Linked DNA regions of Astyanax mexicanus. The protein of the gene in region 1 interacts with the protein of each later gene in a pairwise test. Links are inferred from orthologs where the notes say so. Each region holds a gene or a part of one and is shown on either strand. Other genes may lie near its edges. The genes, in order: nupr1b, ranbp1, psmd4a and ptmaa.

Region 1 (8,592 bases):
ATCTCACTGAGGTAGTGATTATATGAAAAAATATTTTTCAAATTACATCTGGTAAAGCAGATTTCTTTAAAATATGTGGGAAAATCATGGTGCATGGTATATAATGGATGCATGATATAAATTTAAATACAAATTATTCTTATGCTAGTTAGCCAACATGAAGCATATAGAGCAGACTTTCTCTACTGAGACTGGTCTGGGTACAACATATATATTTTTGTTCACTTGCAAAATAATTAGTTACCAATAATGCACATGCAGGCACTGTTTTTGTGAAACCTGCATATGTGAAGCTCTTCCAAAGGAACAGGTTACAAGGTTTGTTTCTATGATAAAACATACAAGGTCATATTTCTGCTAAACTAGGCCACTTCCATTTGCAGTATCACTCTGAGTGATATTTGTGTTTGTCCTCTGAACACATAGAAAGCGTTTGCACTTTGAATGCAAATGTCTGACTTGGCCTGTGAGGAAACTGAAAGAGAAATGTGCATGAAAAACAGCACGTATGGATTAGTGTTGCCAAAAAATAAAACACAACACAGAACAAAACAAAAGCAGGGCTATTTTTTATATTTATGTAAGCAGTAGATTACACTTCAGTTATCTTTTAGATCAGATGTTGAGAAAGGCCAAAGTCTAAATGGAAAGATAATATCCAGTTAATTTTCAACAGGGTCACTTCAAAACATGGTAATTCCATAAAGACAGATTTCATAGCTAAAAAGATCTTTGTTAGCTGAGGATTTTTCTGCTCAGCTAAAAATTCAAATATTTACTGTACCAAACGCTCCTCTCTCACATGACACTATTAAATGTTCAAACTGTTCTGTGCACGAGGAACGGGTGGGGCAGTGCTCTTGCAGGATGAGTAATACATATATTAGTGTAAAACTGCATTTTGTTCCTTATATGTGGTTGGGAGAGTAAGTTACACAGGACAGGCCACTTCTGCTGACCTTTGCATAAAGATCATCTTCATACAGGTGTTGCAGCACAGAAGAACAGTGCATCACCACTCTGCTTTAGAGTCTGCTTAATCATACTGAAGATTTTTTTCAGCTAAATTTGGAAGCATTGGAGAAAGCAAAACACTGCATTCAAGCAAAAAATGTAAAACATGGTGGTGGTAGCATTATGGTTTGGAGCTGTTTTGCTGCATCTGGGCCAGGAAAGTTTGCCATCATTGAAGAAACAATAAATTCAGAAAAGGACATCTGTCTGTGAGCTGAATCTCAAGAGAATGTGGGTTATGCAGCAGGACAACTACCCTTAGCGCACAAGTCATTTTGCCTAAGAATAGATAAATAAGCATAAAATTCATGTTTTGGAATGGTCAAGTCAATGTTCCAATCTTAATTCAATAGAAATGTTGTGGGCTGTGCTGAAGCAGGCAGGTATTGCTGCACAAGTAAGTCACACCTTGTACTTAAAACAAAGGTTCACATACTTTTATCACTCAAATATATTTAATATCGGGTCATTTTGCCCACTAAATAAATGACCAGGTCTAATATGAATTTGAATTCATGAATCTACTTTCAGTGTGAAAATCTGGTGACATTATTGCTCAAACATTTACAGTAATTTAGAAAATTCTAAAGGGTTCACAAACTTTCAAGCTTTATTATGAACAGACAGACTATTGTCAGGTGAGGGCTATTTAGCTAAGATAATAATCCAAATATTTGCTGAACCAAACACTCCTCCTCTCACATGACACCAGTTACAGGTTAAGCCAAAACTGTAGGATATTCATAAGGGAAAGCACAAGACATTATGTATCAAAATGAGTAGTGTACTATACTATAGCACTGTAAAAAATCCCAACAAAAGTTTTAGTGATCATTTGATTAAGTTTATTAAGAAAAACCCTTTGAAAAAACAAAAATCTGGGCTGAGTCAGCAAGAAAATACATACACTGCAAAAAAAGGAAATCTTAGCGTGTTATGGTTAAATCTATGTAAAAAAATATCTGACATAAATTTTTTATGAATTTTATAAGAATATTCAACTTTTTTCTAACATGTTTTAAGCAGTTTATTTTACTGAAGGTGTCTTATTGCGTTGGCAGATATATTTCCTTGTTTAAACATAATTTCTTAGCAAAAACTAAATTTTCTGAAGTGTCTGCAAAGTTATCTGCCAATACAATAGGAAACTTTGTTAGATTAAATCACTTAAAACAAGTACAAGGATGCCATTCTTACTTAAATACTCTCAGAATTAGAAAAAAAGATATGTAGACTACATTTAAGAGGATTTTACTTAGGATAAAATGTTTTTGCTGTGTAAAAAAATGTGGTACCGGGTTCTTTTCGCTGTTGTGCAAGATACGGATTTTTACAGTGTATATTAGAGAACAAAAATGTATGAAGAATGAGTACAGACTTGTTACTCTTTGTTCTTATCCGTGGTTTGAAGACTTTTGTTTAATGTTGCAAAAAAAGTTGAACTGTACTTCAAAGCCTGTTTGCAGTCAGCAGTGTGTGTGTGTGTGTTTGTCTGTACGTGACTGCCGATAAGAAGTACGGCCTGTCCGTCTGACACATTTTCTATCTTTGTTTGTGAATGAAAACACAAATCTTGCCAGCGCATTTCTGCCTCTGCCACACATGCGCATTAGACACACACACTCACACACTCACACTGTATCCATAAACGCTGAGGTCATGTATCCAAGGCACTGTGGTGTGGAATTTCCCAGACCTCAGCTCTAAACATTCCCTCAGACTGTACTTCTCACCATCCCTGCGGCCAGACCCAAACACAGGACACTTACAGGAATCCACGTCACCCAGTAGAAGAAGCAGACAAAACACAAAACAGTGGAGATAAACTGACTGTGAGGGATTCTGATTATCAAAAACTAAAACACTAAAAGTCAAAACTGTGGCATCTCTAGCTCTGCTCACACATGCCTGCCCAGTGTAAACACACAGGAACGGATACGGTGCAAAATGACCGGTCAAATGCAGTAGAGATAACTTAGAACACATCGTACTTTATCAAGGTTACAAAGAAAATCACATGTTTAGTTTAATTTGAACCAGAAAAGGCCTAAACATAACAGAAATGGTATAATATTTTGACTAAATATTGTTAAATCAGAGCAGTCTTAGGCCTTCTAAAAAACGGATATGGAAAACTGTACAATCACCTTGCAGCACAATAACACTCATCAAGCAAAGATTTAGGAATGCAACATCAACCACCTGGAATATCAGAGCAATCACCTATTAAGACCACAGCAATAACCTGGTAGCCACTTTAAAATACCATAGCAACAACCTAGGATACCATGGTAACCTCTTAAAAACACCAATGCAAATTTACACAATAGCAACCACTTAGCAACATCACAGCAACCAGACAGGAAATCAGGACAACAGCCCAGCAACATTATTAACATTATAGCAAATCGAACAACATCATAAAGACATATAGCAACACCATAGGAACCACCTACAGCAGCTGCCACCTGTCAAAATTACCATAGTAACCTTTTAAAAAGACTCTGATGAGCTAAATAGCCTTAAGTGCACCACATGAACAGGTAAGAAGGGTTCTCAGGTAAACATAGCTATTTATATTTCAGAAGCTCTCTAATGCGTGAAGTAAACAAACAGGTTTATGCTAGGTTAGTGGGAAACACACTGCTGCAGGACGTGTGAAGTGTGAGTAAATGAACAGGTGTGGTTCAGAGATATAAACATTAACAACTGTCATCTAAACTACACCTGATATGTGTCTGCTGGTGGAGAGCCAAAAACAAGACAAGAAAGGGAAAAAACACAGAACTAAACAGACTGGATTCCTCCAAAGTACACAGGGTTACACAGAATTATGTTATAACAGAATACAGCAAAAATATAAAACGTACTGAACCATAGAACAGAATACAGTAGATTTATAAAAGAAAAAAGGTCAGACAACACTAGAATAATTACGATATGACAGATCACATTATAATAACACAGAGCTTACTTTTAGTCTCAAAGCAATTTTATACTGCTTCTGTGATTCGGCTCCTGAGAGACAATCCTCTGATTTTCTCAATTTAACCAAAATCATGTCTCATGTGTGGCTTATCCCTTTTTTTCTCAATCATAGTAATCTTACCTTAGTCTCAGCTGAATAAGGTTCATAGAAGATAAGTATAAGATCTCCTAATATAATTTTTGATATTCAGCAGTTTTTTTTTTTTTATAAAAAAAGGTTTCAGAAATTATTCTGAGATTTCTTCTCAGACAGATAAGAAAAGAAAGAAGTGTACTATTAGTATAATTATTTTAAACTGAAATTACGAAAGTATGTTAGTTTGCTAAATGTATAACTACAGTAAACATATACTTCAAGTGTACAAGTAGTAAAGTTTTATTTTGATCACATTAGTAAACTAGTTTATGTACTCAAAGTCTACTACTTGTACACCCAAAGAACACTTAAAATGTTACTTTTATATACTAAAATTGAGCGAATTTAGTACAAAGAAGTATTGAAATAGTACATATACAAGTGTACTACAAGTACATTGATCCTAATATACTTACTAAATAATATTTACTTGTGAAATATATTCAACTTTACTTACTTAAGTTTTCTTAATAAAATAAACTGTATGTATACTTTTTTTTGTAATTGTAGACTAGCTATATTTCTTTAGAAATGCTATTTATATACAGTCACTGTACTGGAATAATGTTGAACTGAGCAAAACAAAACAAGGTCATCTGACATGATGATTTATTTGGCTGTAAAAGGGCAAGGCCCTTCAGATAAACATTAACTACAGTCTGATGCAACTTCAGGCCTAAAGCAGGGAAGAAAAGGAGAGGGGCGGAGCCACTAAACTATATAAAGAGCCAAAGAGGGAGGATGTAAACACAGCATCTTGGAGAAAACAGAGGAATAGATTGGTTTTAGTTTGTTTTCTGAGCTAACTGAACAGTTTTTCCTCAGCTTTATCATATATTGAGATATAGAAAGTGTACGCAATTCCTCATAGCCTAGTTTAACATCAGTTAAAGTGAGTTTTGTTGCCTAATTTAGCAGAAAGAAGAATATAAAGATGAGTCACGTCGACGTGAAAAACCTGAAGCCCACCAGCTTTGAGGATCGCTACTACGATGAATACGAGTATTATAATCTCACAGACCGATACACAGGTGAGTTATACAAGTTTACAGCGGACCAACATGACTTTAAACCTATTTTTAATCTTCTCTTTTTTTTTTTAAGAAAACTTGTAGATAGTCTTCCTGTGTTTTCCTAATAATTGTTCCTATTGTTATTTTTCTATTTATTCCTGTAGTATTTATCTGTAGCCTCGAGTCTCCTTGATATGTTAGTCGTAGTTAGCTACTGTAGCTGTGGTATTTGGCTTTAGTGTGGTGGAGTAGTGTACTGTAATTTAGTGGGGTTTTTTTTCCTCCACCTTCATTCCTGTAGTCCTCCATCTGCTCAACACATTTTCCTGCTAACCTTCTGCTTACTTGGCTTGAGTCACTCCTCAGCAGAGTTCTACTGGACAACATGTGGAGATGTTTAGCTGTACACTCAAAAGAAAGTCTTAACAATCTCAAATCAGTTAATCTTATTTTTCCTCTAATGTTTGTCTATGCAAGTGTAATTATTTTTCTCATTTTATGATTAATGTCTGTCATTTTTATCCCTTATTTTAAATCATTTGGACTGAAAAATAAGTACAAAAAGTCTGATGCTTGTTTTTAGAATGTAAGCCCATCTTTTTTTTTAGTCTTATTTTTTTTACTAATTTTGTGGTTTTGATATTGCTTATTTTAAAAACTCTTACTTCACAGAGTAAAATTTGCTTATCTCAAGATATAATGACATATAGGTTTCGATTTATATACTGTCTCGCTTTTGCCAAAGTATTTTTAAATTTTTTTAATTTTTATTTTTTGCAGTGTAGGTCTGTCACTAACTATATATTATAATCGACCAATATATTGTCCAATAAATAACTAATAGAAAATATTACTGACATTTTAAGACAAATGTTTCCCGTTGATATACCTGGCCAACAATGAACTTTATTTATTTTATTTTTTTTTACAAAATTGATCAGCCAATCTAATTGGAATTGAAATAAAACACAAACAATATTAAAGACAGCTAAATGATGTCATTTCCATATATTGAATGATAATTAAATAACGATTTTATTGAAAAGCCTAGTTAACTGGATAATAGGAAATAGTGCTGATTTCTGGTATAAAATGCATTTGAAATAATTAAATTATAAAGGCCCCAGGTCCCTACAAATATTTCTTTTAAAGCAAGAAATAGCTTTGAACATGAACTAAATGTGGCCATTAGCCACAAGTAGAAGGATTTAGCTCCTGAGACTTTGAGGTGCTGAGTAGCCTCAAGTGCACCACATGAGCATGTATTTCAAAGAAACTGTTTTGTTCGAGCCTTATGTTCTTTGCTGTGTTATCCCCCAATTGTTAAATACTTTGTTTGCAAAAATAATCCCCAAATGTACCATTTTTTATAAAGTAAGAACTGACTTTGGCTTATTAAAATTATTGTGTATATTGAAAGCCCCTCAGGACTGCACCTGGAAAGTGTGTTCTAAATGATGCAGTGAGCTGTTTTGTTTTGGTGCATGTGTGTGATTGAGCACGTGCTTTGCTGCTTGTGTCCTGCAGAGTGCACTAGCCGCAAAGGCAGAACGAAGAAGGAGGCAAGCAGCAACACAAACCGCCCCAACCCTGGAGGCCATGAGCGCAAGATTGTGGAAAAGCTTCAGAACACTGAGAAGAAAGCCAAAGAGTGAAACCTAGCAGGTAAATCAGATAAAACAGTTTTTTTCCCCTTTTAACCACAAAGGGATTGGAGTTGGCCAGTTTACTGTCCAAGAACATCCCTCATTACTTCTGTTAAGGCGAAACTGTGAAATGATATCACTAACGAATTGCCCTCAGTTTCAGAAGTCTAGATAATATTGTTGACTCTGAGATTGACAGATTGTTTTGCTTTGAAATTCCACCATTTGGTCAAACCCATTGGATTTAAACCTGAACCATTGAGAAAACAACTGAATACCTGGTCCAGAAGAGCTGGATGCAGTTTTTACATCTGACACTGCATATGACTTTTTTTGATGATTTGTTTGATGGTGTTTTTTTTATTTTTTTATTTATTTATTTATTTTTTTTTAGAATCCTTCACCAGTTCAGCAGTGACTTCTTCTTTTTGAGCAATAGTTCTGGGATTTTATTTGTCCATTTCTGTGTTTTTAAAAGTTTTTTATATATTGCAATTGTGCCCAACATGCTTTGTTAAGCATTCCAAATGTTTCTTCTCTTTTAGAAAGAATCGGACGGCTTGATCTGGCAACCGACCTTGGGCGCCTTGGCAACGGATATCAAAGGGCAGAAGATACGAGGGACTTCCAAAAGTCCACTCGGCTGTGATGAGATGACTGCTGGCGTGGGAGACCGATGATTCAGTTTGCACTGGCCAGTGTTTGGTTCAGGGTTCACAAGGTTTTTGTGGGCACGTGCAGTCTGCTGGGCCATGCACCTGTTCTGGTGCCTGAGTGAACCCTGGAGAACTGGGTGTGCATGTGCTGTGGTGGTTAATGTGGTGCTTTTATGACCGTCTTTGTTATACATCTTTTTTACCTACTTTTGACTCTCCAGTGGGCTTATAGTCCTTTCTTTTAACATATTAAAATGTAAGTCTTATTTCTTACACCACCCCCCACAAAGTCCTGTTCATTTCATAATAAATTGGAATATAATGTACAAACCTATTGTCTGTTATGTGTATGGATTTGCACACTGAGAAGGAAAGGCTTGAAAGTAATTTGGTACAAGTGTGTACAAGCAGTTTTGGATGTCCCACTACAGGGGGGGTATGAAAGCAACAAGTTGTGACTGGTTAACAGGCTCTATCCATTATACTTTTTAAATGGAGATAAAGCTACTCACTCTAATATTCAGCTATTAACACCCCCAACAGCAAGCACAAGTTGTGCCTCTTCAACAATTATATTAAAACTGAACTGGCCTGGGCTTGACTGTTTCATTATAAATGCATTTTCTTTTCTCTTTTTTTCTCCTTTTAAAAAGGGGGGGGGGGGGGGGGAATTGGTTAAATGGTTTTAAAGCCCCACTTGACAGTTTGCTTCATTGTTACCAGATTGATTGTCCCATAGCACTTATTAAACATTAATTTAAAACTATACTGTGTCTCCATTTGAGTTTTCATTGTAGTTCCCATAATGACTGATGGAGGGCAGCAGTCTAACTATTAAAAAAAACTGGGGCAGTTATAAGCCACTTTATGGAAATATAAATACAAAATGTTTCAGGTGGTTGATAGAATAATGGTATTAGAAATGTGAATTTGAATGTACATGTATACACATCTGAAACAGAATTTTAAGATTGGTTTAAGGTTTTTTTTTTTTTTACAATTTAGGTAAAAGCGACTGTTTCAAATTCTTAATATTATTGATGTATTTACAAATTCAAAATGGCATTCTGGGATCAAAAAGGTAAAGTACAGCATGCAGCATCAGAGCAATCACACCAGAATTCACACACCAAATAAAA
Region 2 (8,121 bases), on another chromosome or scaffold:
TAAACATAAAAAAAAACTTCAGAATTCACCTAAAATACAGCCAAAGACAGCTTTCTAACCCCACTAAAAACCCTCATTACTCTTTGCTCATCGGTGTGGAAATCTTATAAACGTGCACTACTACTGGTGAACCACGCTAAAGTCCCCAGTTTTGTAGAAAGTGTTGGTATTGGTTTCACTTTCTCTGAGAGCCGCTACACGTCTGAGCCGGCCCCGGGGGGCCCTCGACGCCCCGTCGGTTCAGTAGATCTGCAGAATGAAAGGCAGGGGGGATTTAAAGAGCTCAGTCTGTGGATCTGCTTTTGTCTCTGATTTGCTGCAGCAGACAGGCTCCCGCCTGCTGGTACTGAACCACGAGCCCGGACCACGCCAACGCCCGGCGCACCGGAAGAGTCCGGGTTTAACGGGGGTATCGCCACACCCCACCCACCGCCAGAGACCCCCCACACCCAAAACGTGAGGTAGACGATGATCCATCAAACTACTCAAATCTACTCAACTTTACAAATTTTAATTTTCTGATTCACAGAATGCAATTAATGCTACATTCCATATAAACATGGCTTTTGGAAATTTTAGACGCTCATCTGGTGCTAACCTGGGGCATGAAGAGTGAGATATTTTGGTTATATTCACCAAAATACACTGATAAATGAATGCCAAACCAATTTATCTTTAGATAACTGTTTGAAACATTCTGAAATTGTGCAAATTTATTGTAATGTTTAACTACAATGCTGCCAACTCAGGCGAGGTGAAATTTCTAGCTCCAACATCTGACTTCCAAGGTAAACGGAAGACAACAGATGATATGATACTGTTAGAATGCCAAATGTGACACCTGTCCATCTGGTTTCCACACAAAATAGGTTTCTTAGAACAGCTAAAGGCTGATCTGGTGTTCCAGGTGGCTGCTTTATCCTGGTATTTCAGGTAGTCATTATTTAATTTGCTATGGGAACTTGTTTTATGTTAAGTTAAAGGCTGAAGAACAGGGTGACATTCACAGGTGTGTAGACTTCAGCAGGTGAGGTGGTGATTGAGGCGATGGCTGGCCAACAGCACTTACTAGCACAGTATGAAGCAAAAAGTGGTATGTTGTAAGGTAGTAAACCCACATTTTGGGCCAGATTATAACTGTAAAATAAGCAGAATCTGTATGTTTCAGTACAGTGAACCACAATTTTGTGAATCTCATGGGCGTAGGAAAATAAATGTTTAAATAAAATGTTTCCAGAAGATTATGCAGAATGGTTCCCACTTCTAGACAATAGCTAAAAAACATGTTGCTATCTAGTGTTATATGGTGAAACATATGGTGACTGCTATGGAATACAGGTAAGTTGCCCTGTTATTGTATTTTCTGTGGTTTTGATCACATTGGCAGGTAGATGCCTTGTTCTGACATTTGATGTGGATGCTACTGGATTATAAAGTGGGTTACATTAAAGCAGAGACTGAACAACAGGGTAACATTCACAAAAAGTGCAGTCTTCAGCAGGTGAGGCTGTGAACAGAGCTCCTACGATTAGTTGAAAAAAATCAACAGCATCGACTATAAAAAAATGTGTCGACTCCAAATGTTCAATGACTAATCTTTCATTTGCAGAACTACACAAAGTATCGGAGTTCCAGCCTCAACCTGTGTCTCCAAAAGTGTCCAAACACAACAGATTACACATTTACTCGCTAAATAGCAGTACTTTCCAAAGTCAAAGGATGGTATTTAATTGCCACTTTCACTTGTTTCTAATGTTTTAAGTCTACAGAGGCCGTACCCACAGCACGCAGAGACGGAAGGCTTTGCAGAAATAAGTGCTGATTAATTGAGAATATCCAGAAAAGTAATAGTCGGATTAGTCGACTACCAAAATCATCATTAGTTGGAGCCTTAGTTGTGGACCATGGTCACAGAATACTGAATACTGCAATAGCCATTCACTAATTGGAAAAATAACCAGATTAGTTGACTAGTCTAGTACCAAAATAATCTATAAACTGCAAACTTATAAATGTTTATGTTAAAGCATTTTATTGATTCCCAGATTACAGTCTCAGATGGTTACTAGGGCTTTGCCAAGTGATTGTTATCACGACTTAAACCAGGATGCACAAGCTTCTGCATCCTATTCATTCCATGAAGAAAGTTCCAAACATTTTGCTCATGCCTAATTCTAATGTCTTAAAACCTAGACATCCTAGAATTAAATGAACTAGTTTATCCCATCTTAGACCCAATCAGGCTCACAAGGCCTAGTCTCACACCATTACAATAGACTTTCCCTCTCCTTTAGATCCATTGTAGGTGGTCCAAAACTTTGTCTAAACCCAAGAGAGATCATCACCTATAACAAAGCCAAAGACCAGCAACATTACCCAGCAATTATGGTGATTCACCTGCTTTCACCGCCCTCATTAACCCCACCAGTTAACTCCCAGCACCTTCAGAACCACCCACCACTGTACTGGGCTGAACTGGACACCAGTCATCTGAAGCCCATGTGCTCCTCCAGGAGCATGCTAATGCTAAAAAGCTAATGCTAACTGCTAATGCTAAACAAAACATAGCTATTAGTCTTTTTTACTTTTCATTCAAACTCATCGTTGCATTTAGGTGCACTGCAGGTTAAGATACTGGTTACTTTATTTAGTGAGCAAAACGTCAATCAATGAATCAAAAGCCAGCAAGCTATCCATTAGCATTCATTAGCTTTAGCCAATATGTTAGCTTATTAGGCCTTGCAGTTGTATTAGCTAACTTGAGCTAGCTAATGGTGCTCAACAGGTTTGCTATTTAAGCTTACTATTTCAAGTTGGGCCTTTAATTATTTAATCAATTAAATCAAAATAAATATAAAAAACTTTATAAATTAAAAAAATCGCAAGCTTGAGAGGTTGAAGTTTGGTTTGATGCTCGAATTAGCCGGTCCACCTTAACGTTAACTCCCGCAGCGGTTTCATTCTGGCGCCCAGCATTTAAGGTAGAACGGCTAGTTAGTTACGTTAGCTTAGGCAGCAAGCCGACATATAGTAGTTAGCTTAGTTAGCTAGCTAGCTAGGTTAGTTTATTTATTTAGGTACCTTTACATTAACACAAGGATTTAACACTTTAACCAAATAATGACTGCCAATATATTCAACAATAAAATGAAGCTTTAATTAATAAAACCGATTTATTCATTTATTTACAGATACATTAGCTAGCCGCCGCGGCTAAAGCAGAGCTAACCTGCTCGGAAACAGGCGGTAAACCGAGCTGTAGGAGTGCGGAAAAAGCGCATATTAGTTTTACAGCTTTAAAAATCGTCTAAAACAACAAAACGCCACAAATATCAGGGCATTCCCGCCGCCCGCTAGCCCGGGTTCGTGTCCGGTAGCCGGACTGGCCGCTCGCTGCAGTAAAGCAACAGCCGGCTTTTACTATTCACCATCTCCGCTTCCAGCCCAAAAACAGGCGGATTAAAACCATCCTAACGATTAAAAATCGCAGCAGACGGCCGCAGGACCCCCAGACGTTCCCCAGAACACCGTCCTTACCTTAGGATCTGCCATAGTTTTGTGGATGTTTGCGGATTGTTGAGTTTTAGTGGATGTTTTTCGCTCCGGCCGTGAGGAGGGAAGAGGGAGGGAGAAAATGCTCCTGCTTTCGCGCGCGCACTGAACCGGCGTGTCGTCATCGCCGGCACCGGCGGTGACGTCACTTGTAGATTACGTACATCTCCATTAATCGATTAAATAAACGTAAAACAAATCGATAAAATTTGTACTTTTGATTTTAGCGTAGTAAAGTGAGCGGTAAGAGCACAGAAAGTAACACACAAGCATGACGCACCTTCAGTGACATCATGTAAAAATAATAATAATAATGAATAATGAAAATGCGTGGCCACAACTTATTAAAAAGGCACAAAACCCTATACTATATTTTTTCATTTATAGCTGAAAAAAATGTATAAACCTTTAAAAAAACACTTTTATTGCAGTCATTTCCTCCTTCGTGCTATAGGCGAGGATTATGTTATCATGTACTTTGGTTATCAGAGGCACACTGCTCAGCTCAATCAAATCTCCCTTCTGCCCTGCCTCTAAACCCATACATCACACAGTGCCACTCCCATTTGTTTTTTGCATTTATATAATTTGAGCTGAGGGTGGAGTCAGCTAAAATCAGAGGGTTTAGTAACTCTCTAAGGCTTGGGAACTGAAAAAATAATAGCTCTTGGCCATATAAGTCATCCCCACGACCTAATTATCTTGTTCCCACGCTTTTAATAAGTCATGGAAATGCATTATAAGAATCAAGGTTTGAGGAACTCAGGCCCCTGTACGCCCCATGAGAGGTGAGTGGGTCATATCAGAAGAAGTATAATAATTTAGATAGATAATAGGTGATTCTAGGATCAGAGATCCAAGGGTACAGGGCATTATCACACTAAATTTAAAAAAAGTATCAGACAATAACAGCATAAACATTCGTGTTTAATTGGGAAAGGGGATTTTACTGTTTACTGTTATATTTTCATTATTAAAATTCTGTTTAATGATATACTTTCTAAGATTTAAACGTTTTTAGCTTATCAGAGACCCTCCAGTCCACAGGTAAAGTTGCTTAAAGGTGATGCTCAAATAGAAGTAAATCTTTTATACATCAGAGTAAAAGAACACAGCATGGAGTTCTTATGTATAAAAATACTGTTTGTAACTGTGTCTTTGTCCATTTGATACACCATTATGTAACAAGTATTATTTGTTAGCTAGCTAGATTAGCTTTACAGCTAACACAATAATCCACAATGACTGTGAATAAACAACAGGTTTAAAGTATATAGTCTCCTCCAGTTATTTTAAACAGTTTTCTCTAGTAAATTTTAATGATTTCACTCTAATATTGTAATCACCCTAATAAATTATCATCGTTATAATCCCACATCTAAACTGACTGATGGATAAAATCATTAGTATGAGAATAAATGCATGGATGGATACTTTCATGCACATAAAGGTCATAAACTACCCCTCACCCACTGCATGCCTGTGAGGGTTATAAGGGTTATATAACTCTCAGAGAGAGATCTCTGAAGCCTGAAGAACATAAAGGACATCATTTTCAGATCACCCTTATTCCTTTTTTCTCTCTCTCTGAGATCCAACAGGGGGCGCCACGTGCACACAGAAAAGCCCCAGTATAACCAGTATTAGAACTGGCCTGTGGGGTGCAGGCAGGAGGAATGCTGGGAGTACAGGGCCTGTCTCTGTTTATATCTGTCCTTTCTTTAACAGAGGGCAGAAAAGGAGATATATCATACTCCCACCAGTATAACTAAACACACACACTGTAGTCCAGGTCGAACTGTGTGTATATAGCTGTGGAGGACGTCCAGCCCAGCTCGGAGGATGATGATAACAGAGGGTCAGCTGAGCCGTACAGGAAATGATGTGTCCCTGCTGAAAATAAAAACATCCAGGCTGGTTTAAGCTGGTAATCATGGTTAAACTGGTTGACCAGTTTAGATTTAGACCAGTGCAGAATATAGCTGTGGGGATACCACCACTGCATGCCAGTGAGCTACCATGGGGGAGACTGGGATTCAATTCCAAATCTAAAATAAATAAAAATCCAAAAATCAGTGTCTCAGAAAAAAAAAAAACATTGGTACTTTTGGTAGTGTGAGCAACGTGCAACTCCTGCTGGAAAATGAAATCTGCATCTCCATAAAAGTTGTCAGTAGCAGAGGAAAGCTGTAAGATATTCTGGGAAAACAAAACTGCACTGACTTTAGACTTGATAATAAAACACAGTGGATCAACACCAGCAGATGACAGACATGACTCTCCAAACCATCACTGATTGGTGGAAACTTCACACTAGGCCTCGAGCACTTTGGACTGTGTGTCTCTCCACTCTTCCTCCAGACTCTGATCCCTTGATTTCCTTTAAATGAAATGTAAAATTTACTGATGATCAGTGATGGTTTGGAGAGACGTGTCATCTGCTGATGTTGATCCACTGTGTTTTATTATCAAGTCTAAAGTCAGTGCAGTTTTGTTTTCCCACAAAATCTTACAGCACTTCATGCTTCTTCCCTCTGCTGAGAAAAACTTTTCTGGAGATGCGGATTTCATTTTCCAGCAGGAAAAAGTACCAATTAGTCTTATATAATATTCTAATTTCCTGAGACTCTGAGTTTTGGGTTTCCATTGGCTGTAAACAATAATCACTTACAATAAAATAAATAAACGCTTAAAATAAATCACTCTGTGTGTAATACATCTATATAATAATACATAATTTTACAAACTAATCAGTGTGTGTTTAGTATAGGGAGATTCCGCCTATGTAGGAGATGAGGACTAAAAGGGTGTAGTAAAGTTTGAACTGAAGTATGAAACCGGACAAAACTAACTCAACTAAATACATCGCAGAATGTATCACAATATATCAAACACACAATATCCCTAATTGTGAAAAAGAAGAACAATGTTACATTATGTAAATTGAAACACCAATAACACAGCAATAGGCCTCAGACTGCACTCGCAAGTCACAGAGTTTATTTTATTATTTTATTTTTAAATATACATATACTTCTTTTTATTTTAAATACCCCCAAACCCCCCCAAAACCTCCCTCCCTCCCTCCCCACACTCCTTCTCCTCCTCTTTGCACTTGTTTATAACCCCTCCATCCCTCTATAAGAGAAATCACACACCCTCCTAATTGTGCAGCATATTGCTTTTTCTTTTTTTTCTTCTTTTTCTTTTGTTGTTTTACTTTGTTAAGACATCCGCGAACATAAATAAAAAAAAATACTACCTCCTAACTCCTGTAGGGGGAGCCAACGCTACGAAACTCAGAGGTTTTCGTAAGCTAACCAGTTTAGCGAAAATTGGATTCAGATTGGTAACAGCTTGGAATCGAAAGGTGCTCAATTAGTGTAGACATTAATCTGAAGTTTGTTCTTGTATTTTTGCAGTAGAATCTTGGGCTATATCAATGTTAAAATGTAACCAAATAATAAAGACTAAATCATATATGGCTGTGTATATGGTGTTCAGACTGCATGTAAATGGGATTTGTTCCTTAAATCAGATTTGATGATGTATAATGTTCTGATTTGCTGTTGAGTGATGGGATCGGACTTGCCTGTCTTGACATCGCAAACATATCTGCAGGGCATCTAACCATACGATAATATTATGATATTGATTATTCAGCAATCCTAGATACTCAACTCAGAGGATAATACTGTATGGTTCCTCACAGCATCTGCGCTACTAAAGATCCACGTATCAATAATTATCGCATTATCTTTATTTCATCCCACCACTCTGTATCTGAATGTGCTTCTGTTGTTTCAAGGTATCCTCACACTTTTCTTACTCTGAATTTAGTGAAGTCGCTGTTTGTCGCATTGTGAATAATTGACATAAATGATTCGCTAAAATCTGATTTGAGTGTCTACACTGGTCAAATGTGGTTTCTGTTTGTCCACATTATCAAATATCAATCTAGACATCAATATAGCTATCGATTTTTAATCAATGTATGACAAGAATTGGGATTTAAATTGTGATTTAGACTTGGGCAGAACAAGTTATAAATTTGGATATTAGATAAAAATCTACACATGCAGTTAGCATTATGCTAATAGGTGGGGGATAACCTTCCACTGCTAGTTAGCTATAATAGCTTTTTAAGCTCCAGTGTAAAGCTATTACCAAATATATATATAAATCTATATTTTAAGGCTAATTGAACTGTGCAAATTTTCCTCTATTTTTTTTCTTTTTTTCAGCCCCAGTCAGAAACAGGTGAGCTGCTCCTGGACTTCTTCTGAATCCACTAAATTGTTGAAAATGTAATTTTTTTTGTCTGTTTTAACTGGAAATCTCTTGTTTGAAAGTGTGTGTTGTTGTTGCAGTGCACTGTGCTCCTGATTAGCACTTAAACCACGGTTTTGTAGCGTTTTATAGCTCCCGAGTCGACCTGTTTATAACAGAATTATTAAATTACTTTAAAATATCAGTGCCCTCCCCTCTGCTTACACACACTGTTTACTACCCTCCTCCACCCCCCCTCTCTCTGCTGTATCGGCTCGATATAGCGACGCTCCAGTGGAG
Region 3 (8,640 bases), on another chromosome or scaffold:
GGTGCCACATATATAGAGCCAGAGTTGTATAAATATTGGTAATATCTGTAATACACTCAGAAACAATCCTGTGATATGCTGTAATGTAACTTATCACAATTATGGATACATGTAGTCATATTGACCCACCCTACTAATGTTCAAAAAGCACTTACTTTGCCATTGTGATGAGTCCCACGTTATTTTCCGGATTGCTGCGGGTCTTTGAGTGACAAACGATATTAACAGCATCCTGCTGTGCTTGTAGTCGGGTGGGCAGAAAATCTCCATTTCTCATGTACTCACTGTTGTCCACACTGTAAAATAAACAATAAATGGAGGAGTATAGTGAATGTATGCATTTACACTTAGAGATACTTTGGCCAAACTGAAACATGTATCAGTCTCTTGTAAATCATACAGTGCCTGTAAAATGATCAAGAATGATTAAGAACTTTATACATTTACAAAAACATAGTAATTTGTTAGTCAAAGTAAATTAAAATATTTAAATAACTGACTACATAAACTAGGGCTGTGTATGGGCAAGAACTTGGCAATATAATATGCATCACAATGCAGGGGTTATGATTTCCATATACAGAGTAAGCCTTGTATTTCAGAAACAATATATGGCAGCTTTCAAGATGGCAGCCATGTTCTCCCCATTACTGGGGTTTTCCGATGTAATTTTTCCTTTTGTTTCTGAAATCAAAGGCCCTGCAACTGCAATGTACTGTGACACTGTAAGAAATGCAATATACTGTGATTGTTCAAACTGAATTTTTATCCAAAAAGAACAGAGAGATCTGAAGAAAATGTACAACACTGTTGTTTAATATTCAGGGTCAAACACAACACTAAATAAACTAAAGTCTGACACCAATCTTTACATATAAAATCATTTTTAAAAACCCATACCATGTTTTTTTTTATTATTCTGTATTGTAATACAAAACCCTGATACAATACCACATTACCATTTGCTTACATCCCTAACAAATATTCAACTCCTTCAAAGTGACTGGCCAAATCTGACAGAAAGCCAGGCAATCGGTGCTAGTAATCACGCAGTCAGTAAAAGAGAGATCAGCTGACTGCAGTAAATAGTGTACACTCAAGTGATTTTAGTATAAAGACTCCAGGTTTGGAAGGTCCCTACTTAGTTAGTTTTCCAGGCTATAATTACACCATTAAAAAAAAAAAAAAAAAAAAAAAAAAACATCCATCACAAGATGGATATGAAACAAAGCCAACACCTAGCTAAATCCATCAATAAAAAGTACAAAAAAATAGTAAAGAAGGTAAAAGTAAATTAATCCCTTGGAAGTTTTCCTAAACTGTGTTTTCCTAAACATTCTACAGCATCTCAGTCATGGCCATTATTAAGTAAACATTGACGAAAATTGAAGGGTTTTTTTCTTATTTTAAAAGTTAAAATTGAAAAAAAAGAGGGCTCTCAGCTACGTCACGATATCCTAAATAATGCTATAATAGTCTCACGGTAGCACTTGTTCATGTCAAACGTGGAAGTGAAGTTACAATTTCATGTATTTAAAAAGTTTGATGTATTGTATGCATACTTATTATGTATTAAAATTAATATCCTAAATGGTGCTATAACTGTCGCAAAAGCAGGGTTTTTAGCACTTCTTTGTCATAAACACAGAAACAAAATGTATATGGCACTGGCACATGTTAACCATGAAAGGAGAGTGGTAATTTATTGGTGTTAGAGTGTATATGTATACCTACTAATTATGGAGTAGATTTATTTCAGCATAACTACCTTCAGAGCAATATATTACAAAATTTAAATCTCCTGATTATTTGTATGTATTTTTTTTTAACATTTCAGACAATATGTCAAAAAGACATAATTCAAGAGTACATAGAAATAGTAAGAGGAAGAATAATTTGTGTTGCTTGTCAAATATATAGCATCTCGTTCTTGGCCATCATTAGGTTTAACGTTACTTATAAACAAATAGATGACTTTGTTTTTTAAAAAAGTTAAGGTTGGAAAAAGGGGGTACTGAGTCAACTCATCACATCCCATGCGGTGCTATTATAATCTAAAAAGCAGGGATTCTCCAAATCCAGTGCCCAATCTGGAGATTTCCTGGCCAAAACAAACCCACATCATCAGGTAATTAACAGACAATTAGATCCAGGTGAGTTAATCTCGGAAACGGTGGAACTGTTCTAAACAAAGGCTCCACATAACTGGACTAGAAGGACCCTACTCTAAAGCATAAAGACATTCCTGTTTAAAGTATAAAAAAAACAATATATTTGTGCTTAAATGGGGAAAAAAACTACAACAGCTAAGAGGTGGCTTTAAAAAAAAATGTGACAAATGCTAACAAGCTAGCTAAATGCTTACGCTAGCATGGGATGACATGCAATGTGAATTCTAAACGTTAGATGACTTTTCTATTTCCTAACAATAGAACTAACCCTGATTTAAATACTAAACTGCCTAACTAGATCAAATATATTGCTGCGTGATCACAGAGAAATCACAGTCCTAAAACTAGACCTCTTAACTAACGTTAACTAACTAACTAACTAACTTAATTAACACCAGGCTTGTGCCACATCAGCTGAGTCAGGTTAGTCATCCATGAATACATCCAACTACAGAGTTAACATAGGTTATAATAACTGTAAAATGTAATGGAGATAATGGAGCAAAGAGTTTAACAGCAAAAATAAGCTCTACAGTAGCTAGTTAGCTAGCTTACAAACAAATAAAGTGGGCTAACTTAACAGCTAGCATTAGCTTAGCCATTATAACCTCTTAGCTAAACTTGGCATTAAGGTAGCTGCTCTCTTTACTGACTCTACTGTACTTGTACTGTATTTAATCCCTGATTCTGTGTCTAGAGCTTTCAGGAGATCAGATTAATGAACCGATCGCTCCGGCCGGGCTGAGGATGATCTTTAGAGCCGCTACGGGAGCAGCGTTAGGTCCGCTAATAGCCGGTTAGCATGACCTAGCCCCGTTTAAACAGCCCGTGTTCAGGGAGACTCGGCGGTTCACAGTCGCGGGTTTCAGCCGCTCTCAGCGCGGGTCCTCCCCGCGGCTCGGTGTTTCTATCTCGCCTGGTGTGCGTGTTTGTGAGCGGTGGACTAAAAGCTCGGATCGCTAGGCTAGGCTCTCTCTCAGCCCGACCGGGTAATAATGACTCAGGAGAATCTCCCCGGAGCTTCACCGCTCCTCTAACCGCGCTCTCACACACACCCCCCGCTACCACAGCCCCGCACCGCGCTCAGCCCGCGCCCCTACACTACAGCACACCGCCGCGCTGCCCTCACAACACACTAAAAACAGTCAAATATCCACTGTTTATTTCTTACCAGACCATAGTACTTTCCAGCACCATCTTGGAAAATTTGTACTCCTCAACAACGCCGCTGCTGATTGGTTGGCTCTCCGGTATTCATATCGCCGTACGTGATTGGCTACTGCCAGCACGGCTCCGTGTTCTTCAGTTCCTCAGTCTCGCCGCCGGCTGGTTCAGATCCTGTAGTGCAGCCCAGCTCCTTTATTTATATAAACACCCCGAATTTAACAAGATCATTTAATGTAGATTTGTTAAAGAAGTAATAGTTTTCATTACCTTTTCCAGTTGTCTAGTTTTCTAGTTCATTTCTCCCCTGTCTGAAATCAGATAAATAAAATAACCTTTACTCGAGTTTACAATTTCCTCTCGGAATCTGATGCAGATCAAAATCCAACCTATTTTTGTTAAACAAAAATGGGAAATTAAAAGATTAAGTGTCAAAGATTTTTTTCTATTGTCCCTGAAATTTAGATCTTAAGTGGCAGCAATGCCACTTTTTTTCTTCACTATACTAAATTAAGGTAAATATAATGAACATCTACACCCATTTTTTTAGCCTAACCAGTTAGAACATTGAACTGATAAAGGTTACATAAGTCAATAAGAAATGAGATTTCTTGATTTTTTTATATTATTTCTGCCCCTCATCCAATCCAATGAAACAGTAGAAATACTTAGGAAGATATTACTTTTTCATTTTTTTCTGATTGGGAGGAGCAGAAATTATAAATATCTACAGATAACAACCCATTCCTTCTTCACTAAATCAAATGAAAAGAAAATCAAGGTGTGTTCACTGGTTAGCATCAGGTTTCGCTACAGGTAGTCACTGTGCTTTTTGGTGACATGGTCTGTACCACATCCAATATGGACCAAAGGAAGTGAAGGAAAGAGTTGTATCAGGAGATCAGAAAGAAAATTATAGACAAGCATCTTAAAGGTAAAGGTTATCAGACTATCTGCAAGCAGCATGGGTGTGGTAGTGGGAGGAAAAAAGGGGACCTGGCTACCCAGGGCCCGAGTAGGGAGAGGGGCCCATGAAAATAAAGATTTTTTTTTTCGCTCATGTTACTTGTGTACTGTCATAGATAGGACGTGGCTACATAAGGAAAATTAATGACAAATAAAAGAAACGGATAATACGGATGGTAACAAAAGAACCCAAAAAAATGTTAAAAGAGATTAAAGGTGAATTTTAAGCTCAAGGAACATCAGTGCCAGATCGCACCATCCGTCATTGTTTGAGCCAGTGGACTTAATGGGAGACGACCAAGGAGAACACCATTGTTAAAAACAAAACATAAAAAGGCCAGACTGGAATTTGCCAAATGACATGTTGACAATCCACAATGGGAGAATGTTCTTTGGACAGATAAGATAAAAAAAAAAAAAAATTGCCAAGGCATATCCACTTTGTTTCTGTCCAGGACTGTTTTGTAAGTTTATATATTTTTAAATAAATAATAAATAAAGCATGGTTGAAAAGCAATGTCTGACTTTTTTGTTTGTTCATTTTTATAGCATTTTTATTTATGACTTTTGTCAAGTTATGTCTGTGACTATTGTGGGTCTTTCTCTTTTTATCCAAGCGATACCAACAATTGTCTGTGTGTATTTATGTATTTTTATTTATTTATTTGAATTTAGCCTTAAATATTAGATAATGAAACTTAAGTTACTCTGAGCAGTCCAAATAAGAAAACAACAAAAAACTAGATCCTGCTGGGAAAAAAAAAAACAGCTCAAACCAACTTTTACTGTATGCACCGGATTTCAGCATAACTGCAGATTTGTCTGCTAAAACCAGTCAAGAATGATAATTTTTCACTATTGGAACTTAATGTTCTATGTAGAGCTTTACAATGCTAAAAGAAGAAATGTGAGCAAGAAAAGATTTTCAGGAGCCAGTTTATTTAAAAAAATCAATTTAACTGTAATAGGCTGATCAGCTGATGATCACAAGTTTAAGATCATAGCTTAAAAAAAAAACTAAAAAAAAAACCTTAAAACAGAAATATTCTATTGAAGGAATCTTTTTTTCTCTGCCACCAAAAGCTCTTGGCCGTGTGAATACTTGAATATTAAATGCAGTTGCCAATAAATTGGCTGCTCAGAAGTTTTTGCCTCTTGCATGCATTTCTTCTTTTAGTGCAAAATGCAAATTTTTGCTATTATTAAACTGTTTTTAAGATTTTGATCAGAAATATATGTAAATAATTACAGGTGGGGTCTGATTAGGCACTGGTCCTGCCTCAAGAGGGCGTAAAAGTGCTTCTAGTGTCCAACCCGTTTACCCGTCATCTGCCGACTAGTCAAGCCATCCAGTCATGGCATAGATATATTACATTTTGAGTTCTTATGGATTATAACACACCTACTCGCACTTTGGCCTGTATCTGCAAAACAGCAAATAATATGTCTATCATTCTCACCTGACACCACACGAGTGCCCATGTTAACATCATGTTTAAAGCAGGTATGTGGTGCAAACTGTACGTTTTGAGGGATTTAACACACACAGTTTACAATGTGGTTGGGACATAATATCTGATGAAAAGCTCTGTTTAATTGACAGAATTAGTCAATTAAAACATTCCCTTTATAACTCGTGAAGATCTCTGTACCACCTGTTCCATTTTTAACTGAACAATTTCACACAGCTTGACACAATGCATCTCACAGATGTTCCTTCTGAGCAAGAGCTATGAATATAAAAACAGCCATCTTTCATCTAAACACAGGTAAACTAACATCAAATAGAAAGGACAGAAAGGATTTTCAGAGTATTTGATTTGCATATGGATATTAATTGAAATGCAGGGAACCCCCAACATGTTGGAAAGATTCAAGTAGTAATTCACGTATGTATTAAATACTAATATGCTACTAATATAGTTTAAATATCTATAGTTATTTAAACTTTTTGACTTTATGTGTGAACCTAATGTTTCTAGTTTCTAGACATCCTAAAGCTTAGGCATCACTTAACCTTCCAACAAGATTATGATCCCAAACATACCTCAACTTCACTAAGTCTTAGTCTCAGAAGAAGTCCTGGAAGAGCCATATAAAGCCTTTGTTGAAGGGCAGCATCATGCAAACCCAATAATGCCCATAAGAAAAGGATCATGATTCCTCAGGAACGCTGCCAGAATCTGGTATCTGTCTATGCATCTTGCTTGCAAAAGGTCATAAGTGTAAAAGTACTAAAGATAAACGTCTTATAGGGGTTCAATAATTTTGAGACATTAAAAGTTGCATTGTGTTTCAAAATTGCAGAAAACACTTGCTATTAGTTGTGCTATTTAGTTTTTTCTGGTTTGATTAATTGCAAACAACTGAAAATATTGCAGCAATATTGCAGATAAATTCTATTGTGTTTAACGGGGGTTTGATCATTTCGATTGAATCTGTTTTTCAGAAACACTTTCATGCTTGAATCTCCCTTGCCATCACTTCCCACAATGCTATTTTAAATTTAGATCATGTCTGTGAGAAAGCCACTCAAGAAGAACAAACACATTTTTATGTAGATTAAACTATATGCAAATTACTTTTCTTAATGAAATCATGCATACAATTATTTGCCCATGAAGGGATGCACATGGTCAGCAATATATAGGCTGTGGAATTCAAACATGTATATTTAAATAAATACAAATATATAAACAAAAACAATGAGTTCTCTATTAACAACAATTATCACACAAGACCACAGAAAACAGAATGCATTTTTTTCTTTTTTTAATGAATTCAGAATACAGTATGAAAATCTGTCAGCACAAAAAGAGACAGCTGAAAATATACAAAAAGTAACCCATTTAATACATCTTCTGTAATAGAAAGCGAATAAAAATCTGCATAGTCTCATTCAAAGGTAGAAAAACAAGGAATAATTATAAGAACTTAGTATTTAAAATATTTCTTAGGAGTGACAAACATGGGGTCAACTCAGCCCTCCCAGCACAGCAATTTTTGAGTGCATTAGTATACTGAATTTTTTATATACTTGCACTAAACCATAAAAAAAAAATTACTAAAACCCCTTTAAAACTCACTTTGTTGATCGCCACTCTTACAGTCCCATGGTTTCTGACGTTGCCCATTCAGTTTTTGCAAAAAAACAAAAAAAACAAAAAAAAAAAAACAAAGATCAGCAATATATGATATATGATATATATATATATATATATATATATATATATATATATATATATATATATATATATATATAGCATAACCCCCAGGCATAAGATAATACACATTTTGAAATGTAAAACAGAGAAATAAATTACATTTTTAAAAATAAATAGTTATTTGTACAGGCTTAGGCCTTAACTGTCTTCATGGTAGTTGACAACTCATCAAATAAATTTTACCATAGAGATATTTATGGTAATAATTTGATCTTTGCTTCTAATGTCCCTCAAGAAAACAGTTTACTGAAAATGTTTAAGTACACAACATCCTGCTTACTCCTAATGTACTCAATCAAGACAGATTTTTTTTCATTTACACAGTGGCTATTAAGGCTAATATAGCTAACTAGCAATAGAAGACCATGTAACCCAAAACCAATAAAGCATTCATATTAAAGCTACAGTTAAGAGGAAACTGTAGCTTTTAGTTAGAAGTTATCAGAGAATAATTTCTTAACTGAGTGAACCTGTATTAAAACATTTAGTAGAAAAGGCAAATATAAGGCAACTAGGGAAGCAGAACAATCTTGGAAAGGGAGTCATTTCAGTAGGATATTGCTTTAAAAATGGGCATCAGAGGAATGCTTAGATTTGACAGATTATTAAATTGTATTTATTGTACTTTGCTGAAACATCTGTATTCCACTCACTTGTCTGTTTTTAATCTTATACAAATTCTATACTCTGTAATGCTAATCCAGGTAGGTACCACTTTCTACATTTCAATAGTCAGTGCATCCCCGATATATAAAACTGTTGCTATAGAAAGTTGCTAAAGACACAAAGAGTGTCCAATCATATTAAAAGGCCCGTGCAGGGTTTCATTCACCTTAATACACCTCAACTGTTTGAAGACTAAGAGCCCAGCTGATCAAACAGGTAAAGTCAGGTGAGCTTCAGTTTCTATGGAATGAAAACACGCAGTCACACCCCTGCTCTTCTCCATTAACTACCTCATATCCACAATAAAATATAAAAACAATAAAGGAAAAATTAAATTAAACAGCACTATTTTGACCCATATTTCACAGCTTCATTGACCAAGGCTTATTTGTTGTTAGTCATCATCATCATCATCATCATCACCCACACCAGTACACATCAGTGTACTG
Region 4 (7,954 bases), on another chromosome or scaffold:
TAACTTCTTTATAATGTATTAATTGTGTGTTTTATTTGTAAAGATATATAATATTTGTCGAAACTGACGAAAAACTATTTTCACCTTCAGAACAGGCCCGTGTCATCGCCTAGAATATCTTCTGATGTGGCAAATCGCTCGTATTAATACATTTAGGTCGTAATCCTTAGTCTTTAAGCCGTTTAGCGCTACAGCACGCCAGCAGCAGCAGCTACGCCTCCTTCCTTACACCATCACCATTCAGCGCTAGCGCTTTGTAGACTCGGCTCGGATGAATTATCTAGGCTAGGATATACACACACACGACAACGATGTCTTGTGGAGGTGGCGGTGAGGGTGTGTGTGCGCGCGCGTGTTAATAAATAAATAAATAAAAGTCCGCCGTGGACAGGCTATTAAATGAGTGGAGCAGCAGCAGCATGGCCGGTATATACGGACAGCTGAAACGGAAACGACAGGCTACGATCTTCACACTCAAGTCTGATCAAGAGCGGAGTAGTACAAAAACAAACAACAAAAAAAAACAGCACAACAAAAGACAAATAGCCTAATCAAACAGCGGCAGTATCCTTCTCTCAACGACTCCCGAGGCAAACTTTACCAACAGCAGGAGAAAGGAGCGGAGGAGGAGGAAGAATGCACTTCTCTCTCACTACAGAGCAAATTATATAGTCTAATGTCCCACCTTCCCACCAAGTGTACAGACGGAAAGCACCACAGAATGAGAGTTGGAGTCCCGAGGCACGAGGATGTATAGGCTGAACACTAGTGGGTACGTGAGGCTGTCGTGCATTTGTATAGTGTATTCCTGATGAACCATCTAAACCAGCTAACGCTAGCTAAATAAAATCCTCCGGACAGGTAACGGTAGCGCAGACCAAGCCCCCCACACCCCCCCCCCCCCCCCCAACCAGTCAGTCCAACTTAAATAAGACCCCCGCTCGTCCTTATGGTCACAGTCAGGTCGCTTTCTTAAACTTTTTATTATTATTCCCCCCCTAAGTTCTGAATGAAAACATGCGTAACGTTTAGATGCATCAAACTCAAATCCCCGCCAAACAGCCCAGCCGGGTAAATCCGAGGCAGCGAGGCAGGTCGTGTCTGCGACAAACGAGCAGCTGAACGGGGATAAATAAAGAAATAATGAGATGCGTGGAGTAAAAGCGTCCTCAGCTACAACAACCAAAGAAAACGTGTCAAAACAAGCCCCCTCTCCTCCGTGGCCTCGTTCAGGGAGAACAGAGCGGACAGAGCAGACAGAGAGCCGCGCGGCGCGGAAGACAACTTGTCACATTTCAGAACAAGAGGCAGCAAATCTCCGCGTCCCTCAAACCCCGGACGAGGCGCTGCCGCCGCCGCTGCCGGTGATAAACCCCCGCGCTGACGGGCTCAAACCCGACCCTCCTCCCTTCAAACCAGAAGTTGGCGGTGTTTTGATATTAGAATCTGTAGCTCAAAGGCACTTTTTTCAAAAAGAGGGAACCGAAACGCCTTTATAACAAAGAAGAACCCGCGCGGACTACAACAGTGTAACTGAGGAGACAACGCTAATCTTAGCTCTGCCTGTAAAAAAAAAAACCCAACTTCAGAGCGCAGGTTAGTTAAGGCTAGCTAACATTTCCCTCATCCAGAAAAGTCTTCACTCAAAACCTTGTTCGTCCACGTCCACGACAGCAAATATACGCACAATTAAACGAATAATAGTGTCCCTCGCCACATACATCACAGCACCGTTAGCTACATTACTACTAATATGTCCACACGTTTAAAAAAAGTGTTTTTTTTTATTATTCTAAAACCCCGCACATCTAAACCTATCAACCCATTGTACGCTAAAGTCCGTTCATCATAAAGCTACAGTAAGTCATCAATTCCAGCAATTCTCTTACCTTGGCGGAAATTTCCGAGCTGGTGTCGACTTTTGTGTCAGCCATTTCTGCCTAAAATGTGTATAAATGGGATGCGGTCACGCAGAAAAAAAAATGAATGTAAAGAGAAGGAGGAGGGGGGAAGAAAAAGAATCCCAAAAAAATCGCTTATAATAAAGATAAAGGGTGAGTTAGTGCCTGTGGCAAACTCCTCCGACAGCGGAGCCCCATTATATAGAATAGTGGGCGGGGCCTGCAGGCGGGCGCTGCGCGCTGATTGGTCGGAGGGAGGAAAAATTCGTAGGCTGTGTCTAATTCGCCAGACTGGAACAATGGACAGTATTTCTATACCGAGGGAACCCGCTTGCAAAACCAACCTTTCTGACTCATTTATGTGACTGGTCCTCTTCTGATGGATGACTTATGCGAGCCCCCCACCTCAAAACGCGGTAGATTTAGACTATACTGCTTTTTTTGTTGTTGTAAAATAGAAAAGGTTTCTGGAGATGTCTGTGGACTGTGCTCACAAAACGCGTCAGTCGAGACCATCCTCCTTCTACACCATCCGCGTATAGCTAGAGAGATGGCCAGCAGGCAGACAGACACACACTGTTAAAGCCACCACACATGTAATTAGATCTTTATGCTTATCCTGTTTGGCTTAACAGCGTGTAACTACAACCTTATTGGGTTGTATTTCGCTTCTCTCTCTATCTCTCTCTCTCTTGGTGTTATTACATAGGAACTATATGTGTTATGAGCGAACATGTTTAGTAGGAATCAGGGGATCAAAATTATCAATCTCAGTTAACCTACTATTCACTGTAACTTCACTTGTTTATGTCAAAATGGATGTATTTTTTAAATGGTCCCTGGTAGTGGTAATGCTTAAAAGTTCATTATTTTAAGCAATGAACTGAACAAGGTCACATAAGCAAAGATCAAAGGATAATATTGCGGTACTTAGCTAGCAGAGCTCCTTCACGGGTTTGAGTGACAGTTATCGGCCCCTCCTCTTTACCAAAGTGTCTCTTTGCTGAAAAATATTATTGTCTGTGAAGTGGAGGGAAGCGAAGGCTGCGCTACTGCTCCGCTGAATGTTTGGAGCTGTAGTCATATTAGGTACGCTGATCTCACAACAGCTCTTGTCGCCTGTCTTGTGTTTGTAAGCTGAATAATGGGTTGGACTGAGCTGATCCCAGATCAGTGGAAAAAAAGGCAGAGTGAACAGTGGCTCGTTTAAGACCAGCGGCGAGCAATACTGATAGTTAGCTCGGGTATAGCGGATTATTTTTGCAACTATCGATTTTAGCCACGTGATTTTGTTGTTGTTGTCAAAGTGTTTCAAACAATTACACATAAAATCAAGTTAAAGTCCGTTTAAGTCTTTTACCGTGTTGGTTTCGCGCTACTGTTGCAACAACAAACATGGCGGACTGCGAATCGTGACGGAAAATAAAAAGCACAATAACGAGCCGACTACCCGGTTTAATCGCGTGTTTAGAGATGTACAGACATCGACTTACAGCGTTAAGTGTGAACGAGGAATCACTGCAACACATAAACGATTAAAGAAATAAAACACGGAAATCAATGAACCTCACCAAAATGGCCGAATTAGAAAGCCGTATGGCGTCTTGAAGTCTCCCCATTGGACGAGGGAAGGGAGCGAACGTGTACTTGACGCTTTGCGAGCGCTGATTGGGCCGTCCTGACGTCAATCAAATAAAAATGCTCGCTAACGGCTTTGTGGAAAGCACGGATTGTAAATTCATGTGCGGATCCGGATCTTTAGTGAACTTCAGCTCGTACTGGCGCTCCGACACAGTCCTGCTGCTAATGAATGGATCCTTTTCCTTCCCCAGATTAATTTTTTTTTCCCGACAAAAGCGTTTAAAATAGAATAATCGGATATAAACAGGCTGTAGCTTCTTGCCTTAATATCCCGAATCCTATTAACATTAAACTGACGACCACAGACTCCTTAAACTACAGGCTTATTATTCTCTACACTTGTTGTTTAGGATGTGAGATTGTATTGTGTAACAACGAGCCTATATGACAATAAGCTTTATTATGAAAATTATCTTATGTTATTAGAGTGATAAGTGAACATATGCTGTCAGATTAAGGTTTTAAACTATTTTTTCTTAAAATATAGTATATTGTTATACCATATATGCCAGCATAACATCTTGCATGTTCATATTTTTATAAATAGTTGGTATAGAAATTGTAAATATATATTGAAACATTGGAAAAAATTAAGAGAGTATGTTTTATTCTATAAACTATGGACAAAATTTTTTCCCAAATTCCAAATAAAAATATTGTCATTTAGAGAATTTATTTTCAGAAAATGAGAAATGGCTGAAATAACAAAAAAGTTATGTGCTACTGCACATTGCTTATTTTAAAAGACTCACAGCTACTGGTTACTGGCATTGGGAATGCTGGCACTGTACTGCACATTATTTGTAAATATTTGTAAAATATAGCTTCTTTGCACTCTCCACTGGACTAATTATGTCATATATTGCATATTTGCATTCCTCCAACTGGACTGATCTCACATTTATCATGTATTTGTATATAATTTGTATTAAAACTTTGTATATTTGTTTTATTTTATATTGTATTAATAGGGAGTGGTAACTTAATTTTAGGAATAAACAGCCTTCTTAACTTTGAATGAAAGTTAATGTAACAATTTTGCAGCTTTTCTATTGGTTCATTGTTCAAACGGTTTTCCCACAATTTGTCAGAAAGTTGGTTGTTTCAAAGAGTGTACAGATATAGAAAGAAAATGACAAGATACAAGGTTAAGCCCAGAGAGCTGGAGGCACTATACTACTTGACATATTGCATGTAGTAATTCTGCCAAATGAGAATCAAAAACCTCCTATGAGAAGCTCTTTGAAATGAAACTGCTTAGTTTGTCTGTAAACCTGCCACAGCCCCCTATGCAACTTTTACTTTCAAGCTTCACATTTACTTTTTTTTAGTTACTTTTATACTTTCCTTTTTCAATGGAACACTTTCACTTTCATGACTTGGTAAAGGTTGTTTGTTCAGGCCTTAGGGAGGAGATAAGAATTGTCTGTAAAAAATATAAAGGTAATGTTAGGCAATATTAGTTACGATCACTTTAGAATTAATAAAATTATGTTTTCAAAAAGCATCTTGAGTACAAAAACGGTTTAGATTGTGATAAGAAGTGCAGCAGAAACCTGATGTCAATGAAAATGACATCTGTCGTCACAGGAAGCAAAGATTTGTCTCTTTTCCTATTTGATTTTGGAAACTTTAAAATTAAATACTAAAATGAAATGCTAACACTTTTCAAATAGAAAGTAAAACAAACATTGTCAACACAGGAATATAATCAAATCAAACTGTAAAAAAAATAATTATTATTAAATATACCTAAATACTTTCATCAGAATTAAAGTGATTATCATTTGTAGATAATTAGGTCAGTTCAAATTCATTAGGTTTACTTACCTGTTGTTAAGTTCAGTTCAAGACAGTTCAAGACTGTCTTTGTTGGCCTCTAGGGGTTATAATTCTTAGCAGGCTTAAAGATTGGTATTAACTGCAGATTGTTTTGTGACAGAATGTTAATCAACCTTCAGCTCTTCTTTATGTTTGAAAGTAATTTCGGGCAAAAACTATTTTTCTTCAGATTTGTACATTTGCCTGTTTCAGTTCTCCCCCTGGTGGAAAAAGAGCTGCATTTTAAAAAGAACACTAAAGAAGAAAGTGGATCATGAGAGTTTATGCTTGTGTAAGTGATTTATTAATACATATAAACAGGCCTTGGTAAATAATCAGAACATTACCCAGATTATATTTTGGTTAAGTCATCTGCACATAGCAATATAGTATTGTAAGTTTTATTATCTAAAAATAGTTTAAATGAATAATAACATGATTTATGAAAACATATATTTGAACTTCCTAAACCTTAAAGGTCTGTATAAGAAATTCCAAATAAAAATATTGTTATTTAGAGCAATGAGAAATAGCTGAAATAACAAAAAAGATACAGAGCTTTCAGACCTCAAATAATGCAAAGAAAACAAGTTCATATTCATGTTCTCCCCCACCAGTCTTACACACTGCTTTTGGATAATTTTATGCCACTCCTGGTGCAAAGATTCAAGCAGTTGGTCAACATTGATGTGGACTCTGATCGGACTTCCAGGTATGAAAACAGCCTGAAACAAACTGCATGTGTAATTTAATTGAAATAGAAAGTTTGGCAAATAGTTGTGTAAAAGTGAATTCTAACTGTTTTTGTTGCATAAAAATGTATTAAAGTGTATTAACTGGACCTCAAGAGGAAAAAACTTATAAACAATAAAAATGTAGAATCTGAGATTTTGACCTCTTTTAAAGAAGGCCTATACTAAACCCTATAAACATGTACTTACATGGGCAACCACTTCAACTCTTCACTCTTTACATCAATGTTAACTTCCATATTATTTTTGTCAAAGCTATTAATCATGATTTCTAAATAACAGAATAATAAGTCTGTGTTTAAAAGGGGCTTTAAAAAAAAAATGTAGTAAATATACTGTATATATGGGAAAAAGTGTGATTAAGATAGAAACAAGCTCATTGGCTGCCCCCTACTGAAATAAAAAAGAAGAAGCACACTCACTCCACCGCCCTTCACCCCCCCTCCACCCTTTTTTTTACAACAGGGGATTTGGCTTTTAAAGACAGACCATGAGAGGGCAGTATCTTGAATCTCTGATTCATGCTTTAAGGACTATTTTCTTGTCAGCTACAATAATAGACTGGCTGGAAATCCCCCTGCTTTGCCGCCGTCTGGTACGGTTTGTCACGTGATCTTAACCAGACCCCAGGGGCCCACAGCTCTGTTGGCCCTCATCTCCCTGGCTGGCCCTGCCCCTAAACTCTGAGACAGACTCATTACTGCTGAGCACCCCAAACGCCCTCAGGCGAGGAACGTGGAGACCCTGCGTTTATTAAAATCCTGTCTGTTCAGAGAAAACACAGCGATTCCACTTCCACTTTCTGAGACAGGAGCCAGTGTGTTTATGCTTCTTCCTTATCGTCCCATGAGATTATTACTTATCTGCCTCCAGAGCAGTGTAGTGAGCAGATGGGGGAGGGAATCACAACAAGGGAATTATTTAAAAATAAGGGTTTAGTGTACAGCAAAACATCTAGAGTAAAGAGTAATGCCATAAAAGAAGAACCATTTTTATACCCTCAGAGATACTTTTAATCAATGGTTCTTAAAGGAACCAACTTTTTTTACCAGACATGGACATTTTTCTTAAAGTCATAATCGTAAACATGATTTGCTGTAACTTTATGATATTTGAATACATAAATCTATCACAATATTTCTTCAGTGAATTAGAACAAAACACATATATCATTTAGCATATTACACTGCACAAAAACATAAAAATATATTTTTTAAATATTTTTGGTCAGTGTTTTTTTAGTAGCAGTCATAACTCAGATAAGCGTCTGTATTAATAGATAAGTAATCACAATACAGACAATAGAGCAAAATTGGCCATGCTCTCTCTCTCTCTTTGGATGTGCAGATAGCTGATGTATCCAAGCTGGGGGTATGGCACTTTCCTCTAAGCACTTTGTCTGCTTAGTGATGCTTCAGATCGAAAAAGTGGTGGGTGGCTGATAAGAGGAGTTTTAGTGAGTGGGTGGGTTAACTGGCTCAGCTAAATTGGGGTACAGTTGGATAAAATAGTGGTTATTTTATGGCATTACTTTATGGCAAAAAAAGAAAACCCTTTATGGCTTTACACGCTGTTTGCTCAATTGTCCCATCTTAATAAAACGTGTTCAACCAGTTAATATGTTGATATAATAGATATCATATATAAGTCAAACCATATTAGATGGTGAAAATGTTTCATGCACAGTTGCAGAAGCTCCTCTCCTCTTAAGTGATTTTGTGGGTCTTGAACCTACACAATATTTCCCATATCCAGATATACATCTGGTTCTGGTTTAAAAGAAGAGGGGTGAGAGGGGGGTGAAAGGAAAGAAAATTCCATTGTGTAATGCTATATATA

Evidence for each region.
Region 2: the proteins of nupr1b (region 1) and ranbp1 interact in a two-hybrid assay, tested with the Homo sapiens proteins (2 studies listed by BioGRID and IntAct). The link is inferred for Astyanax mexicanus from reciprocal best matches to the Homo sapiens genes NUPR1 and RANBP1.
Region 3: the proteins of nupr1b (region 1) and psmd4a interact in a two-hybrid assay, tested with the Homo sapiens proteins (2 studies listed by BioGRID and IntAct). The link is inferred for Astyanax mexicanus from reciprocal best matches to the Homo sapiens genes NUPR1 and PSMD4.
Region 4: the proteins of nupr1b (region 1) and ptmaa interact in binary tests that used the Homo sapiens proteins (3 or more experiments, as listed by UniProt). The link is inferred for Astyanax mexicanus from reciprocal best matches to the Homo sapiens genes NUPR1 and PTMA.

The regions. Positions count from the first base shown.
Region 1 is NC_064426.1:34,461,293-34,469,884, reverse strand, and holds nupr1b (nuclear protein 1b), read left to right. Parts: upstream 1-4,861; 5' UTR 4,862-5,072; coding exon 5,073-5,169; intron 5,170-6,678; coding exon 6,679-6,806; 3' UTR 6,807-6,816; intron 6,817-7,342; 3' UTR 7,343-8,219; downstream 8,220-8,592. UniProt on the Homo sapiens protein: Transcription regulator that converts stress signals into a program of gene expression that empowers cells with resistance to the stress induced by a change in their microenvironment.
Region 2 is NC_064429.1:10,915,419-10,923,539, reverse strand, and holds the start of ranbp1 (ran-specific GTPase-activating protein), read right to left. Parts: upstream 3,678-8,121; 5' UTR 3,553-3,677; coding exon 3,538-3,552; intron 1-3,537. UniProt on the Homo sapiens protein: Plays a role in RAN-dependent nucleocytoplasmic transport. Alleviates the TNPO1-dependent inhibition of RAN GTPase activity and mediates the dissociation of RAN from proteins involved in transport into the nucleus.
Region 3 is NC_064410.1:30,609,464-30,618,103, forward strand, and holds the start of psmd4a (26S proteasome non-ATPase regulatory subunit 4a), read right to left. Parts: upstream 3,452-8,640; 5' UTR 3,369-3,451; coding exon 3,343-3,368; intron 297-3,342; coding exon 156-296; intron 1-155. UniProt on the Homo sapiens protein: Component of the 26S proteasome, a multiprotein complex involved in the ATP-dependent degradation of ubiquitinated proteins.
Region 4 is NC_064412.1:25,140,372-25,148,325, reverse strand, and holds the start of ptmaa (prothymosin alpha-A), read right to left. Parts: upstream 3,536-7,954; 5' UTR 3,521-3,535; coding exon 3,473-3,520; intron 3,446-3,472; exon of another isoform or gene 3,431-3,445; coding exon of another isoform or gene 3,395-3,430; intron 2,093-3,394; exon of another isoform or gene 1,935-2,092; coding exon of another isoform or gene 1,890-1,934; intron 1-1,889.